Linked DNA regions of Nothobranchius furzeri. The protein of the gene in region 1 binds, or shares a complex with, the protein of each later gene. Links are inferred from orthologs where the notes say so. Each region holds a gene or a part of one and is shown in the gene's direction. Other genes may lie near its edges.

The links.
Region 2: eif3d (region 1) and eif3m share a complex: the UniProt entries of both Homo sapiens proteins name them as parts of the eukaryotic translation initiation factor 3 (eIF-3) complex. The link is inferred for Nothobranchius furzeri from reciprocal best matches to the Homo sapiens genes EIF3D and EIF3M.

The regions. Positions count from the first base shown.
Region 1 is NC_091745.1:29,239,041-29,243,404, forward strand, and holds the start of eif3d (eukaryotic translation initiation factor 3 subunit D), read left to right. Parts: upstream 1-1,349; 5' UTR 1,350-1,492; intron 1,493-2,674; 5' UTR 2,675-2,677; coding exon 2,678-2,800; intron 2,801-2,882; coding exon 2,883-2,928; intron 2,929-3,013; coding exon 3,014-3,150; intron 3,151-3,239; coding exon 3,240-3,325; intron 3,326-3,403; coding exon 3,404-3,476; intron 3,477-4,145; coding exon 4,146-4,267; intron 4,268-4,347; coding exon 4,348-4,364. UniProt on the Homo sapiens protein: mRNA cap-binding component of the eukaryotic translation initiation factor 3 (eIF-3) complex, a complex required for several steps in the initiation of protein synthesis of a specialized repertoire of mRNAs.
Region 2 is NC_091749.1:32,403,572-32,407,315, forward strand, and holds part of eif3m (eukaryotic translation initiation factor 3 subunit M), read left to right. Parts: intron 1-1,932; coding exon 1,933-2,014; intron 2,015-2,321; coding exon 2,322-2,465; intron 2,466-3,199; coding exon 3,200-3,260; intron 3,261-3,744. UniProt on the Homo sapiens protein: Component of the eukaryotic translation initiation factor 3 (eIF-3) complex, which is required for several steps in the initiation of protein synthesis.

The DNA.
Region 1 (4,364 bases):
TAAGGGATATATATATATATATATATATATATATATATATATATATATATATGAGGATGGAAAAATTATTGAGATGGGCACATGACGTGTCAAGGGGTCTTTACATAACACCCCCCACCCCAAATCCGCACAAGCCTGCTGTGTCCCCCCCACTTCTGAAATCAAAATTTCGTCCCTGCACGGGGGGACCTGGTGAATGACCTGCAGAGAGCTGGGACCACAGTAACAAAGGTCACCATCAGTAACACACTACAACGGCAGGGAATCGAATCCTGCAGTGCCAGCCGTGTTCCGCTGCTGAAGCCAGTGCATGTTCAGGCCCGTCTGAAGTTTGCCAGAGAGCACATGGATGATACAGCAGAGGATTGGGAGAATGTCATGTGGTCAGATGAAACCAAAGTAGAACTTTTTGGTATAAACTCAACTCGTCGTGTTTGGAGGAAGAAGAATACTGAGTTGCATCCCAAGAACACCATACCTACTGTGAAGCATGGGGGTGGGAACATCATGCTTTGGGGCTGTTTTTCTGCTAAGGGGACAGGACGACTGATCCGTGTTAAGAACAAAATGAATGGGGCCATGGTAGCAGCTTCAGTGACAGACTGATCCATCCTCGCAGTGTGAAGGAGAGATGCTGCAGGTCTTTCCTTCCGGCCACTGTTAGACTCTATAATGGTCATTGCTAACATGGAACCCATACATCTGTAACATTCCACTACAAATATCATCACCAACATGTGCAATATTGCTATTACTGTTGTTATTATGTGCAATAATTACCTTGGCTATCTTAATTTACAAATATGCTCTTGTATATAGATGTGCTACTGCTGCTATCCTCCTTAAACTGTTGCAATAATGCAGTTTCCCCACTCAGGGACTGAAAAAGGTATTTTTGTTCTTATTGTTCTTGAAAGAAATTGCTAGAAAACATCTGATTTTTGGTCATGTCTGCACTTTGGTGCACAACTGGAAAGGCTGTGTGTGTGTGTGTGTGTGTGTGTGTGTGTGTGTGTGTGTGTGTGTGTGTGTGTGTGTGTGTGTGTGTGTGTGTGTGTGTGTGTGTCTGCATACCTCTCCGAAAGTACGTAGTTGCACCCTAGTAGACCTCACTTCTAGCCTAGTGAACCGCAAACATATATATCAGTGAAACCGACCAAACACGTCTTTGCAAGTTATAGAGACAAAATGTACAAACGGTTTTGATAAACATGACTAAATTTGTGTTCGGTAGTTTTAAAGGGCAATAAAGCAGAAATTGATGTGATAAACCATAGATATGTGTATAAACCATAGACATAGACACATCATGAGGATATGTCTGCGATATTAACGCTTGAAATTACGACAGTTGCGCTAGAAATACGGCAGAAGCCTCTTTCCGCTCTTTTTACGGTGCGTCACTTCCTCTCACGCCGGCATTCCGTCGGGTTTTACATCGGTGTAAAACCATCTGGGTGTAAAGACTCGATAAAGAGTCACATTATTCTCGGTAAGTTTCCACCAAAGTTTGCTCAGATGAGAGAGGAGTATCAGCGCTTGTTGGCGCTGGGAAACATCTCTCAGAGAAAAATGACAGTTTGCAAAAAGCCGGCTAGTTAGCTTAGCTTAGCTTTGTTAGCGGGCCCACCCGACAGGATGAGCCGCCCTAGCTAAGGCCGTCATCAGATAAAATATTTACAAAGAACACCCGTAACTTTGACATTAAATTAAGTGGAAGAGATTTTATTTCTCACTACTGAACACGGATTCATGCACGTTTGGAGTAAAACGCATTTGGCTGCAACGCATAAACAATAGTTAAATCTGTACAATACTATTCAGCCCAAGACCTGAAGAACACCGTTTAAGAAATAAAGATTTAAAGCAGTTTACTTTTTTTACTTTATCACATCAATTTATGCTTTATTGCCCCTTTTTAATACTGATAATAATTAAGTGTAAATGAATAACTAGGTCTCCGACCACCTGGAAATACAATTGGGCGTTTAACTCAAACCATAAGGACTACATTGCCATCCTCCTTTCCACTTCGGGTTTTCTATTCTAAATCCGTGGACTGGTGTCCTGTGGTTCCACATTTTTGGTTTGGCTTTCCTTGGTTGTTCATTTTCATTGTTTTTATGACCTATGTGACTGTCTCTGCCTGTGTTGGTGCAGCGCTGTGGTCGGTTATAATGCTGCGTTAAAAGCGCTCTAAAACTAAAGTGGTATGGTAAATATATTAGAAATGTGTCTGTTACGCCTGTCTCAGAATAATTCAACCAGTAAAAATAAATTAACATGACTGACTGGGTTTATTTTATAGACGAATGCTTGTTTGCATGGTCACTAGGTGGTATTTTAGAGTCTCTATAAGTGAAGCCAACAGTTGGCTGTTCTTGGACCATTTCAGAAATCAGCAGACAGTGTTTTAAACCAGTGATGTCAGCTTTTCCTTTTTATGGCTTTCTCTATTTTCTGTAAAATGTTTACCAGTTGAACGATCTGTGTTAATGACTGGGTTGGTGATGATTAGCCCACTGCGCAATCTGATCAGTGCCCATGTGTTTGAGAGCACTGCTGGAGAGATCAGAGCTGCTGTTGCTGAGACCCGTTGACGCTCCGCTGTGCTTTAACCAGAATCAAAACGCAGCATCGCTGAAGTCCGGTCTGTGTTCTGCTTCGATCTCAGGTCATGGCAAAGTTTCACGCCCCCGTGATCCAGGACAACCCGTCTGGATGGGGTCCGTGTGCAGTCCCGGAGAAGTTCAAAGATATGCCCTACCAGCCTTTCAGCAAAGGAGACAGACTGGGAAAGGTCTGCCCTCACCGGAGCTCCTCTAGCAGAACCAGAACCAGAAGCAGGTTGTGTTTGATTCTTACTGTGTTTGGTCTGACAGGTTGCTGACTGGACTGGAGCTACTTACCAAGACAAGAGATACACGAGTGAGTGAGATGGTTTAAATTCTTTATCTACGTATATGTTTTAATGTTAAACATTTGAATTATTTTTGTCTTTTTTGCTTTTCAGATAAATATTCCTCTCAGTTTGGAGGTGGGAGTCAGTATGCCTACTTCCATGAGGAAGATGAGACCAGCTTCCAGCTTGTGGACACTGCTAAGACCCAGAAGACGGCGTACCAGAGGAACCGCATGCGGTTTGCTCAGGTAGAGCATATTGTTGCAAAACAGTTTAGTCCTGATGAGACTATTGAGCTTCATGTAGGTCAGCAACAGACGTGGCTTTGTTTCCACAGAGGAACCTTCGCAGGGACAAGGACCGTAGGAACTTGACTCAGTTCAACATGCAGACACTTCCTAAGAGTGCCAAGCAGAAGGAGAGGTGAGATCATTACTCTGAGCTCCACTGGAAAGATCCAAGCTGAACAATGAGCTTTACCTCACTCTTTCGCCTTTTCAGAGATCGTTTGCGTCTGCAGAAGAAGTTCCAGAAGCAGTTTGGTGTCCGTCAGAAGTGGGATCAAAAATCTCAGGTGTCGATTATTTAATTTCTATTGTTTCCCTTTTAGAGCAGCAGAAATCAAATCATATTCACCAATAAAAAAACACATTCTTGGTTTATTTTTAAAGGTGCGGTTCATTGTTTAGTCGGTGCATCTGCAGTGGTCTCTAGTAGGAAGGGATACCTTGTAAGTCGTACTCTGTGGGTGCATCGGGCAGAGTGATATTTGTCCTTAGGAAAACCGATTTAAAGTCGGGCACATCCTTGGGCAGCCAGGTGCTGTAGCAGAATTTAATTTAAATGTATTTTTATGTTCATTGTTAAATACTCTAAATAAACTTTATTTATGTGTCTAATTTTAACGGAGTGCACAACGTTAAAATTTAGAAGTTGGTTCAAAAACCGATTCAACTTCAGAAATTTAGTGCATTAACTGATGTTGTTAGTGACATTTTAGCATGACCAAGAAGTGGAAAAACATCTGGATTTGGCCGTAAAAGTCACATCGGCTATCTCCTACGTGTCGGCGTCGACTTTAGCTGTGTGCGTCGGCAATAGAGAAACCAGTAGAGGTTGACCTCTATTTTCTGCTTCAGTCTGAGGATTCATGATCACAGATGAATGATTCTGAAGTATTTGGGTCTGTTTGAAGCCGTTGTGATGGTCTTTGGTGAATTTGTGTGTTTGTGCTGCTTCTCAGGCCCAGCTGAAGCCCAGAGACTCCTCTGTGGAGGTGAGGAGTGACTGGGAGGTGAAGGAGGAGATGGACTTCCCCAGACTGATGAAGATGCGATACATGGAGGTTTCTGACCCTGTTGACATGTAGGTGAAGCTTGTCTGGTCTGGTCTGGTTTGTGTTTGGGTTGAATCTGTACATCTGTAAAGTTCTGGTCCTCCTGCAGCGAGTGCTGTGGTGCGT
Region 2 (3,744 bases), on another chromosome or scaffold:
TCAAACATTGAGTAGAGTCCTTACTAAAACCGTACTTAAGCTCAACAAAAAAAATGTACTTACGCCAAGTAGGTTTGTGATCTATCAAACAGGGTGTACACACAGCTGCACGCAATCTCCGCTTCATAAATCGGAGACTAACGAGAAAGTTTCTCAGCTGCTTTTTAGTCACATCCCGCCCTCACCACGCCCACTTACTGCCATAAATGGTCAATGCAAAGTGCCTTGTGGACCTCATGCATATACATAAGCCGGCTGTTGCAGCGCTCCGCAAATGATGATGGCGACCGTAGATCAAGGAAGCGCAATTTTACACAAGCAGAAGTTGAGGTACCTGTGGGTGAGGTGGAGAAATGAAAGGAAGGGCTTTTGCAAAACAAATGAGAGAAAATCCACGGAGTGGCACAGCGTTGCTGAAGCCGTCAATGCTGAGTTCTTCAGAGAGATCTGTGGTGGATATAAAAAAAAATGGTCCAATCGGGATTCGATCCCCAGACTCCCGGGTAAAAGTCACACACACTAACCAGTCACCCAAACAGATATCTCCCTTGTCCAAGTAGCCAGGGCGCATGATCAATCGGGTCACAGTGACAGGACACACACACTGTAACAGACTCATGACATTCTATCTCAATCTGTCCTGCTGATATTCTGCATTCCGTATTCTGGCTTCAGGGTGTGTGTGTGTGTGCGTGTGCGAGTGTGCACGCGCGTGTGTGTGCGTGTGGGGGGGTTTGTTCTGTGTGAAAACGAAGCAGTACAAGTGATAATGCTGCAGGATTTCATAATTTTATCCTTCTCAGCAGCATCACTGCAGGTGCTCTCATGTCTAAAATGTGTGTAAGCCAGGTCCTTAGTCAACTTAAAGTTGCGCACATTTTTCTGCTAAGTTTTCTTTCATAAATCCCAAAGTTAGCGTGGAAAGTTGCTCACGCAGTTTTCCGACCCCGTTTTGTGCGTAAGCAAGCTTGATACATGAGGCCCCTGTTCATTAAGCCATTCAGTAAAAAGTTTCCTATATTAGGAGCCCTGCGGATCACATCAAGTCAATCCTCATACTAAGCAAGCATTTAGCGACAGTGGAGAGGAAAATTCCCTTTTAACAGGAAGAAACCTCCAGAGGATCCTGGCTCAGTATAAGCAGCCATCCATCACGACTCACTGGGGGTCGAGAAGACAGAGCAGACACACACATACACCAACACCAGCCCACACACACACATTAAGTAGTGTTTCTCTGGTTACATTGTGATTTCTTAGTAGATATTCTATTTAGTAAGAGATTAACTTTATTGTCTTTAAGTGAATTTTATAATTAATTCAACAGGTGAACTAGTAGTAGCACATTCCATGTTAAAGAAAATAAAATGTTATCAGGAGAGGGAGAACATTTAAGTGGTTAGCAGCAGTGTGCCAGCCGGCTGCTTTTCAGAGACACGTGTCCTGAGGGTAACGAATTGTTGTTGTGGAAGAGCTGTTTTAATAATTTTCCGCCTAGAAAAATGAATCATTACTCGTTTTGCAAAAGTTTATTTTTCTTTCTTATTTCTAAAGCTTAATAATATCAGCATCTGTTTGTTTTTTTACAATAATTACCTTAAATATTTAATACTAGATATTTACAGGAGAGGAAAAATAACTTCTGACTTCTCACAGAATTCTTACACTCGTGTCAGAACAAAAAAGAGAACTCTTTTTCAGTAGCTCTAATCTTTTTTTTATAGATATTTATTTAAAAAAATAGAAAAGTAAAATGTCCTGTAGCTGCAGCTCTGAATGAGTTTTATTAGATCGACTGAGGGGAAAACGGCTCGTGATTTAGGCTGCAGACTGCTGAGGTTGACAATTCAAGGACAAATGAGTCGAGATGAAACAGTTTGATGTATCTTCTCGTCAGTTTTTTAACCAACTTTCATCCTTTTCCCTCTGCAGCTGTTGACCATCTTTGTCAGCGCAAAACTAGCAGCCTACGTGAAGTTCTACCAGAACAACAAAGACTTCATCGATTCTCTCGGTGAGTTTTCACGAGAAAACAGAAACGCCAAACGGGCGTGTGACAGACGAACTTTTGTCCTGTGTAGCTGTGATCAGTTTCACTCTGTTGACACAGAGCAAGAATGTTTGTGTCAGCATTGTTTTTCTTTTCCTCGCTGCTTGCAGAGCAAGGGTAAATTAAACCATGTTTGGGTGGACTCTGAAAACAGAACAGAGACACGTTTGTGTTAATGAGCAGAATTCCCGACCGTTATTCCAGGGAAACTCCCAGAGTGGACGAGTAATTGACTGTGACTGTTTAATGATCCCTGTGTGACGCTCCTCAGGCCTCTCTCATGAGCAGAACATGGCCAAGATGCGTCTGCTGACGTTCATGGGCATGGCGGTGGAGTTCAAGGAGATCTCCTTCGACACCATACAGCAGGAGCTGCAGATCGGAGCTGAAGATGTTGAGGCCTTCGTCATCGATGGTAAAAGCTCTTCACACTTATCGTGTTACGGCAGATTGGACTCTCTTCTGAAGCTTCCATGGCTGCAGCTTCTCAGTAACATGCAGATAGGCTCCTGTCACTGATGTAAGCACGTTTTGCTCACTGATACCTGGAGATAAAACGGACTAGGCTGCTCTTTGTAGGCATCTAGTGATGGCTCCAGCGGTGTTGGTAGATGTGAGTAGAATGAGGTGCAAGTGAAGATGAGTGGTGTGCTGTTGCTGCAGCGGATGGAGGAGGAAGTTCCGCTCACCGTGGTGGTTTTAAGGCACAAAAACAAAGCTCTCATACAACACTGGATCATTCGACTCACATAGGGAAAAAAATATTCTAGCAAATACAAAAGTTTACAAAAACAACAAATCTGACTAAAAAGCTGTTTAATGTTGCTTTTAAAAGCTTGTCTTTAATGTACAAAAACAAAATAGTCATAATCTAGTAACCAGACTGCTCCAGAGCTCATAGTTGTGTTTACTTGTAGAGATTATAGAGTTTCCACACATATGTACCCATGTGTACACTTTTAGACGGCTTCACCAAGAGCTGTTGATTTGCCTGACAGGATTTTGAGTTTTTCTTTCTGGACGTTTGAGTCTAGTCAGGAAAAAAAGGATCAAGTCAGAAGTGTAAACAGTGCTTGTTGTGCAGCCCCTGTTGGTCAGCTGAGGTCTTACACTTTTTGTTCGTATTTCTGCTTCGCTGTGTTCCTGCAGCTGTTCGGACCAAAATGGTGTACTGCAAAATCGACCAGACGCAGAAAAAGGTGGTCGTGAGGTAAGTGTTTGTGCTTTCAGGTGTTTTACTAGTCATCGTTAGGGAAAGGAAGGTTATGCCGATTGTGGAAATACTTATTTTTCTATTTATGTTCCAACAATCAGTAAGTTAAAAATGGCTACAAAGCAGAAGGAGGGAATAAGAAAACAGGAAAGTGTTGCCATGTTTGTGCTTTCGCCGTTTTAGAAACCGTAGAGGTCAGATACTCGTGGGTTTGATAAGCAGATCTTCAGGCAGCTTCATCGGACCGCAGAGCGGTGGACACCTGCACAGATATGACCTTCATGAACAAGTTATCTGAGCAACAGACAACCTAAACTTGGACTGTGGGCTTGTGTTAGAGCCACGGGAGATGGAAGGTTAAACTAGAGACGAACAAAGCCTAAGAGGTGAAGATATGGAGTCTCATCAGTTATCTTTGTGCACGCACTGTTTACAAGTTAGCTGCCGGCCTTGCAGCTAACTTCTTCTAGCAGTAATCTGA